Sus scrofa: one gene and its partner. The main gene of each other region encodes a partner of the protein of the gene in region 2 in a complex. Links are inferred from orthologs where the notes say so. Each region holds a gene or a part of one and is shown on either strand. Other genes may lie near its edges. The genes, in order: AMBRA1 and CCND1.

Region 1 (3,421 bases), about 12 Mb from region 2:
CAAACCTGTAGTTTGGTAGAGCAGCCCTGGCAGCCCAGGAGCTGTGACTGTAGCCGCCCACAGGCTTGGACCGCTTCTCTGCCCCATCAGGGCTGAGCGCAGGCTGGAGGAATCTTCCTCAGGGTAGAGCTCCTGCTGAGTCCAGGCCATTCACAGCAGCCACCACCAACTGAATGCCCGCTCTGCACCAGGTCCTGGGTGAGCAGGATCTCATTCCCTCTGCCTGGCACCTTGCAGGCGGGATGTTTTGCAGATCAGGAAACTGAGGGATGTGGATGGCGAGGGACTTGTCCAGGGTCATGCAGCTAGTGAGCGAGAACTGAGATCTGAGCCAGAGCCTCATCTGCTCACATGGAAGGGAGTGCTCAGGCCCCTGGAGAAGGAGCACGACCTTCCCTCTTGCCCCCTAGAGACGTGGGCTGAAGCCTCAGGCTGGTGCAGTTGACTGCCTCTCGAGAAAGATAAGGGTTATCAGACCTCCAGCCCCAGGAGGACAATATGTGGGAAATAACTTGGGGAAGGTGGTGGGTAAAGCAAGATAATCAACGCCTTCCAGAAAACAGTTGCAAATCTTCCTCGTGTGATATAAACAGAACAGCAAAGAGGAGAGACCACAGAGCTTTGAAGTGGAGCAGAGCAGACCTTTGCTTTCAGGCCACACTGCATATGATGCCCTGGCTTTCCAAAGACCAAGCAGCAGGCCCTGTCCTAGGGCCAGATCTATCAGTTTATCCATCCGGGCTGCCTCCTCAGCCACCTCCATGAAATGTGTGACCAGCCTGCCACTGGTGCCCAGAGGGTTAAAGTCGGACTCCTGGCTTCTGGTCCTGCCCCACCTCTTAACTGAGCAGCCTGGGCCAGCAAGGCCTCGGTTTCCCTAGCAGTCAAACAGAAGTATGAATTATGGGCATCTGGGGAGTCTGATCTAGCCTTCAAGCCTCTGATTGACTCTCAGAATGAAGGACTGGCCGGCCTCTTGGTTCTGCTTTTAGCTAGAATCCCCCAGCTCCCACTAGCAGTTGTCTGCCTGACACAGAGGCCTGGGCCAGCAGCTAATTCCCTCTCCTGCTTTGTGCCCTCCAGGGGAGGGCTCAGAGCTCGGTGCCAGTGGGGAAGACGCGCTCAGCAGGATCCAGCGGCTGATGGCGGAGGGGGGCATGACAGCCGTGGTGCAGCGAGAGCAGAGCACCACCATGGCCTCCATGGGCGGCTTCGGCAACAACATCATCGTCAGCCACCGCATCCACCGCAGCTCCCAGACGGGCACCGAGCCCGGGGCCGCGCGTACCTCCTCGCCCCAGCCCTCCACCTCTCGGGGACTGCTTCCGGAAGCTGGGCAGCTGGCTGAGCGAGGCCTGAGCCCCCGGACAGCCTCCTGGGACCAGCCGGGTACCCCTGGGCGGGAGCCACCCCTGCCCCCCTCCTCCCCTGTCCCTCCTCCTGCGCCCCTTCCCAGCACTGAGGGACCAACCCTGCACTGCGACCTGACCAGTAACAGCCACCTTCTTGACAGCGGGGGCAGCAGCAGGGGGGAGGCTGCGGGCCCCAGTGGGGAGCCACGGAACAGGTAGAGACGTGTGCACTGGTGCCTCCCCTCGAACCGCTGAGCAGAAACCGGACCTCACAGCTGACTGGGAACTGGACTCGCGGAGGAGCCGCAGGCTGCGTCAGGAAACAGGAGCAAGAGGGTGGGGGGTCGACAGGGAGTCCAGGTCAGCAGGCATGAGGCAGTCGAATGGGCAAGGCTTGCCTCCAGAGACTAGAACCTTCCAGGATCTGGAGCCCAGGGGAGCCACACACTGCTGTGCTCGGGGTGAGTGCAGGAGAAAGTAGGTATCCCTGCCATGAACCGCCCCCCTCCTTTCTCCTAGAAACATGGCTCAAGGGACCGGGCACTGGGCAGAGAGCCCCCAGAAGGGCAAACAGTCTTCCAGATCTGGGCCAAACCATCCTGACAGTGGCCCCTGGGGCAGCTTCGCCCTGTTCACCTGTCGTGTGGGCAGAGCCACTAGGAGCCCAGGAGCAGGAGGAGCAGCCTAGCCCCCAGAAACCACCTCCATTTCTGAGCCTTCCAGAGCTTCAGCCTCTCTATAATCATCCTACCCCACAGAGACCACAGTCAGGGGTCAGGCCAGGCTCCGGGATTCCTGAGGACAGGGGCTTCCAGCACTTACTGGTGGGGAACAGCCATGCAGTGGAGGGGGCAACCTGCTTGCCTGATACAGGATGGGGTCAAGGGACGGTGGGCAGGTCCTCACTCAGGAGGTGGGGGGTAGGCTGGCCAGCCCCCAGGGCTTGTCTGCCAAGCTCCTCCTTCCCCACCCCACCACCTCCCCAAAGGCTCTCAGAGCAGCAACTGTGGGTGTCAGTATTACCTGAGCCTAGGCCAAAGCCAGCCCAAGGCTGGGGGAGGGGATGAGACTCCAGGTCAGAATGTGAGGTCTTGGTCTGTGATTTAAGGTGTTGCATGTGGAATCTTGAACTGTATGTGTAGTTTCTAGTGGAGAAATCAAGGCTCTGATTATTTTGTTTTTAGTATGAAAACGTGATTTCTTTTCTGTTTGTAACTCATCATAGAAACATTGTGGTGGGAGGAGAGGGGATAGTCTGACTGCAAATGAGGGAAACACCAAAGATCTACATCATTAAAATGATGATATGCCCCTCACCACGCTCCTCTCTCTTTGTTTCCATGGGGGGTGGAGGAGGGGGTGGTGATTGAAGGGGAGACACTGGGATCACTGAACTGAGCCACCCTGGTTCTTCCAGCCCTGTGGTGCCCCAGCAGAAGCCACTCAGGTAAGGGCTGCCACCTGTTTCATGCTCCATCTCTGTGTACCACCACCTCCTGCTTCCCGGGGGCCTGCTACGGATTGGGCAGCCTTCACAGCAGTGAGGGGTGGGTGGGGGGTTAGGTGAGAACGAGATTACTCATCTTGATTGCTTCCTACCCAGGATGATGGGCCTGGGATGAAGATGTAACTGGCCAGAAAGTTGGCTCCCCTCCAGTTCTGGGACAGCACCCATTAATGGGTGTCTGGGTTGGCCGGCAGGGAGCTTGGTCTTACCTGTAGGCATCCCCCTAAGACACCATTTGGTGCTTAGGTTTCCCTTCGTGTCCTCGGTACAGTGAGTACGGGACCTGCCTTGGCCATTTAGTTTAAAGCCAGTTAGAAAGCGGGAGAAAGGGATTTCGCATCGTGGCTCAGCAGTAATGAACCCGACTAGTATCCATGAGGACATGGGTTCAATTCCTGACCTCACCAAGTGGGTTAAGGATCTGGCTGTGAGCTGTGGTGTAGGCTGCAGACAGCATTGCTGTGGTTGTGGTGTAGGCCAGCAGCTACAGCTCCAATTTGACCCCTAGCCTGGGAACCTCCATATGCCGTGGGTACAGCCCCCCAAAAAGAAAGAAAGCCAG
Region 2 (3,806 bases):
CACAAGCACGGCAATATTCCCAAACCATTCCACTAGGAAATCGCTCCCCACCCGCCTCCACACACAACATAAACAGAGAGACAGCCCCTAGAACTACGGGACCAAAAGTGCTTTGAAATGGAATGGTTCTGGAATATTGAGGAAAACCAAAAACAAACAAAACAAAACAAAACAGAAAAACAACCACAAAAACCAACCAGCTGTGGGTTTCACCTGGATGTGAGCTGCAGGTCTGTTGGGTGAAAAACCAGCATCTCGTGAACAAGTAACTACAAAAATAGGAAGATTATAAAAATAGAATATATTAGGTCACTATTGCGGTGGGCGCGGAGTCGGAGGTGGCTTTTCCGTCCCTGCTACGCTGGCTGGCGCCCGACAAACCGCTCAGGTGGCCGGTGCGCAGGCAGAAAGAGGACGACGAGCCTCTTTCAGCATCGGACGATGCCGAAGCCTGCGCTACTCTAGACAGAGGTGACATCGGCCACCGATAAGGTGAAGGTCACACGCCTACCTACGAAATAAAATAAACACGCACAAATGACTTATAAAGTGACTACATGCATAAGCAAGACACAGGATGCCTAGGACTGCTTTAAAGCCGTGCTTGGGAAAAAAGCACACAGGTATGTTTCTCTAGCTAAAACCCTCTTCTACTTTACAAACGGGTGGTGGGCTTTTTTTCTATTCTTTAAAAACATGTTTATGCTTTTTTTGTTTGTTTTCAACACGGAAAGAAATCACATCTAACCCTCCCCGCACACTTGCTCATCTTAATTCTACTCTTACAACAGACACAAGCACATTAATAGAAAAACTAGTTGATTATGGGGTATAAAATCCTCTATTTCTGCAGCATGACCCACCTCCCCCGCCAGCTCAGGGTCATGCAAATACTATTTTTTTCCTCGCTTTTTCTGTTGTCGTTGTTGTTTTTTAAAGACAGGTTTTCAGGTACTTTTTTTTTTTTTTTTTTTTTTTTGCCTTTCGCTTAAGTCAGAGGTGGGAGGGAGACAGAGCAGAGGGGAACGCCAGTGGTGAGGGGCGGGCCTCTCCCCCGGGGGTGGCCGGGCCTGAGCGGCTCCGTCTGGGGAGCGCGGGCCGGCCCCTCCCTGGCTGCGGCGCCTCAAATGTTCACGTCGCGAACATCGGTGGGCGTGCAGGCCAGGTCCACCTCCTCCTCTTCCTCCTCCTCCTCCGCGGCCTTGGGGTCCAAGGTCTGCTGCTGGGCCTGGCGCAGGCTGGATTCCAGAAGGGCTTCGATCTGCTCCTGGCAGGCGCGGAGGCAGTCCTGGGCAAGACGGGGTGGGATGCTCAGAGGGTCCCCGGATGCTAACAGAAAATGAGGCCTCCCCCAACCAGGGGGGCCGTTGCCCGGAGCCCAGGATCAACAGCGTGCACCCCCGATCGGCCCCCAGGAGCCCAGGCGTTAGGTGGCGAGTCTGCTCAGGACCCAGCCTGCCCGCCCACCTGCCTTGCCGCCTGGAGTCCCCAGCGGGGCCAGACCCCTGGCTGGAACCCCTCCCTGGGGCTCTGATCTCTGGCCCCAGGGCCCACCACCGCACTGCTGCCTTCAGCCAGTCCAGCACCATCTGATCCAGGGCGGGGAGACCCTTCACCTCTGCCGTGTCAGCCCTCGTGGCGAACCCAGCCTTCTGTGATGAATGGCGCGCGTGACCCAGGATGAGTGCTGGGTGGCCCCGGGGACCCTTTATCCCCCTCCTCTCCCGCCACCGCTGCAGACGTCCTCCCGCAGTGCCCGCCCCATGCGTTCGACGGAGAGGAGGAACCCAAGTCTAGGGCCCTCTCCTGGTCCCCAAAGCTCCCAGCAGCTCAAAGGTGCCCCTTGCTGTCGGGCGGCCAAGGTTCCCACGTCTGAAGAGAGGCCCCCTCAACTCCCGGGAAGCCACACCGGAGCTTAGAATAGTCCAGAGCCAGGTAAAGTCTCCAGGGCAGCCTCTCCCACAGGAACAAGGAGGTGGGGGGATCCGCCCCAAAGGAGTGAAGCCCAGCCGGCAGGGCTTCTGGGTGGATCCCGGGGTGTCTCCCATGGGTGCAGAGCGCCATGCCTTACGGGGGGTTCCTCCCCACCTTCCCAATATTCACCGTGGCAGATGAGAAGGCAGTGACGGTGCACATGACCCCATTTCACAGAGGAGGAAACTGAGGCCCAGAAGGTCCCAAGTGGAACCCAGGACTCCTGCTGTCCTCCCCCCGCTGGGGCTCGGATCAAACATCCAGCATGGCCTCGGTTCCAATCCGGAGACCTGAGAGCCCCCACCCAACAAATGCACCAGCGTCTGCAGGTGGCTCCAGGGGCCCTGGCTCACTGGCCCCCGGAGTGCGGGGAGGGCTGATGGCAGAGTAGAGAGCGGGGGGGGGGGGGGGGGGGGCGCGCAGGACGGCCTTCCCTCCCCGCAGGGCCGGGCACGTCCCCCCTCCTCTTGGCCCTCCTGAGAGGAGTGGGCAGCAGCCACGGGCGGGAGGGGGGAGCAGCTGCTCGGCCATGACCCGGAGCCACTGCTGCCCAGGCTTTCCTGCATCTGAGCTCAGCTACGGTTGTCACCTGGTCACCAGCCTGATGGGATTTCTACCTCCACGGATTAAACCCATCCCTCAGCTGAGAGGCGTTTTATTTCAAATCTCATCACACCCACCTTTACCCCCAAGGGATCACGTGGAGATTGACGGTCCCCTGTGGTCTTTCCAGTTGGGGGATGACCCCCAGCAGCCAGGCAGGGACGCTCCACTCCCTGAGCCCAGAGCTGCCCGTGCCTGTGCACCAGAACCTTCCCCCTTTGGGGGGTCATGCAGGCGTCCGTCACCCACCCTCTCTTTCCTTCTGAGGCTCCCGACCGCCGGAAGGCAGACCACCAAAAAGCAGCGCGGGCCCAAGCCCGACCCGGGCCGGGGTCAAGGCGGTCACTCCCACACCAGGGGGGCTGATGACCCCTCAACCTCGCCGGTCTAATTTGGTGAAGGCCACAAACCCTTGCAATTGTTATTTTAATTCTTTCTTTACAGGCAAGAGTCGAGAAGAAGACAATGACAATTGTAAGAAGAAAGATACAATCGACTCCAGCTTCAGGAGCAGCAGCCTGTCAACGAGGGGCCATAGAAACGAGTGGTCTGTACGGGACCCACTGTGGACGCTGGACCTCACAGGGGCCCTTGTAAAGCGGCCATTTATCGGGCGTCCACATTGTCGCCGGGACAAAGCTCCAGCGGGCCCCACCCCACCCCCCATTCGGGCACGGATCACTGACTCGGCCTGCCTGTGGCCCCTCTTCTCAGCTGGCCCCCCAGGGAGGGGCTGAAGTTCCCAGGAGTCCGGGGGACACAGAGGCCTGGGAGGACCCTCCAGCCCATCAGCAAGCTCTGAGGTGCTTCTCCTTCCAACGGGAGAGTAAAGGGGGGAGCTGCCCCCCCGGCCAGGGCCAGGGCCTCTGAACGCAGGCGGTCCGGACAGTCCCCCAGGTGGCCCCAGCCCATCATTTCCCGCCGGCCGATGGCAGCTCGGCTCTAGAAGCATCTAGACGCAGGAGCGCGGTCACTTACCGGGTCACACCTGATCACCCTGGAGAGGAACCGCGTCAGGCGGTGGTAGGACAGGAAGCTGTTGGAACTTCCCAGGTGCAGACCTTGCACGGCCGCCACCACGCTCCCGGCGGCCACCATGGAGGGCGGGTTGGAAATGAACTTCACGTCTGCGGCGGAGGAGAGGAGGCAAAGGGGCTGTGGGGGGGGGCTCTGCAGGATCCCTGGATCTGGGCCCCCAAGTCCCCCGGCACCTGTTTGCCACTCTAGTG

The links.
Region 1: the proteins of CCND1 (region 2) and AMBRA1 are in contact, whole or in part, in a cryo-EM structure (PDB 9IVD), measured with the Homo sapiens proteins. The link is inferred for Sus scrofa from reciprocal best matches to the Homo sapiens genes CCND1 and AMBRA1. Residues at the interface, in NP_444284.1 of Homo sapiens: Thr286, Pro287, Thr288, Asp289, Val290, Arg291, Val293, Asp294, Ile295; in NP_001354397.1 of Homo sapiens: Arg54, Ser55, Phe57, Val73, His75, Arg96, Thr97, Trp99, Leu116, Ala139, Arg184, Ile945, Asn1012, Asn1029.

The regions. Positions count from the first base shown.
Region 1 is NC_010444.4:16,116,415-16,119,835, forward strand, and holds the end of AMBRA1 (activating molecule in BECN1-regulated autophagy protein 1), read left to right. Parts: intron 1-1,083; coding exon 1,084-1,571; 3' UTR 1,572-2,668; downstream 2,669-3,421. UniProt on the Homo sapiens protein: Substrate-recognition component of a DCX (DDB1-CUL4-X-box) E3 ubiquitin-protein ligase complex involved in cell cycle control and autophagy.
Region 2 is NC_010444.4:3,623,266-3,627,071, forward strand, and holds part of CCND1 (G1/S-specific cyclin-D1), read right to left. Parts: intron 3,705-3,806; coding exon 3,556-3,704; intron 1,289-3,555; coding exon 1,124-1,288; 3' UTR 1-1,123. UniProt on the Homo sapiens protein: Regulatory component of the cyclin D1-CDK4 (DC) complex that phosphorylates and inhibits members of the retinoblastoma (RB) protein family including RB1 and regulates the cell-cycle during G(1)/S transition.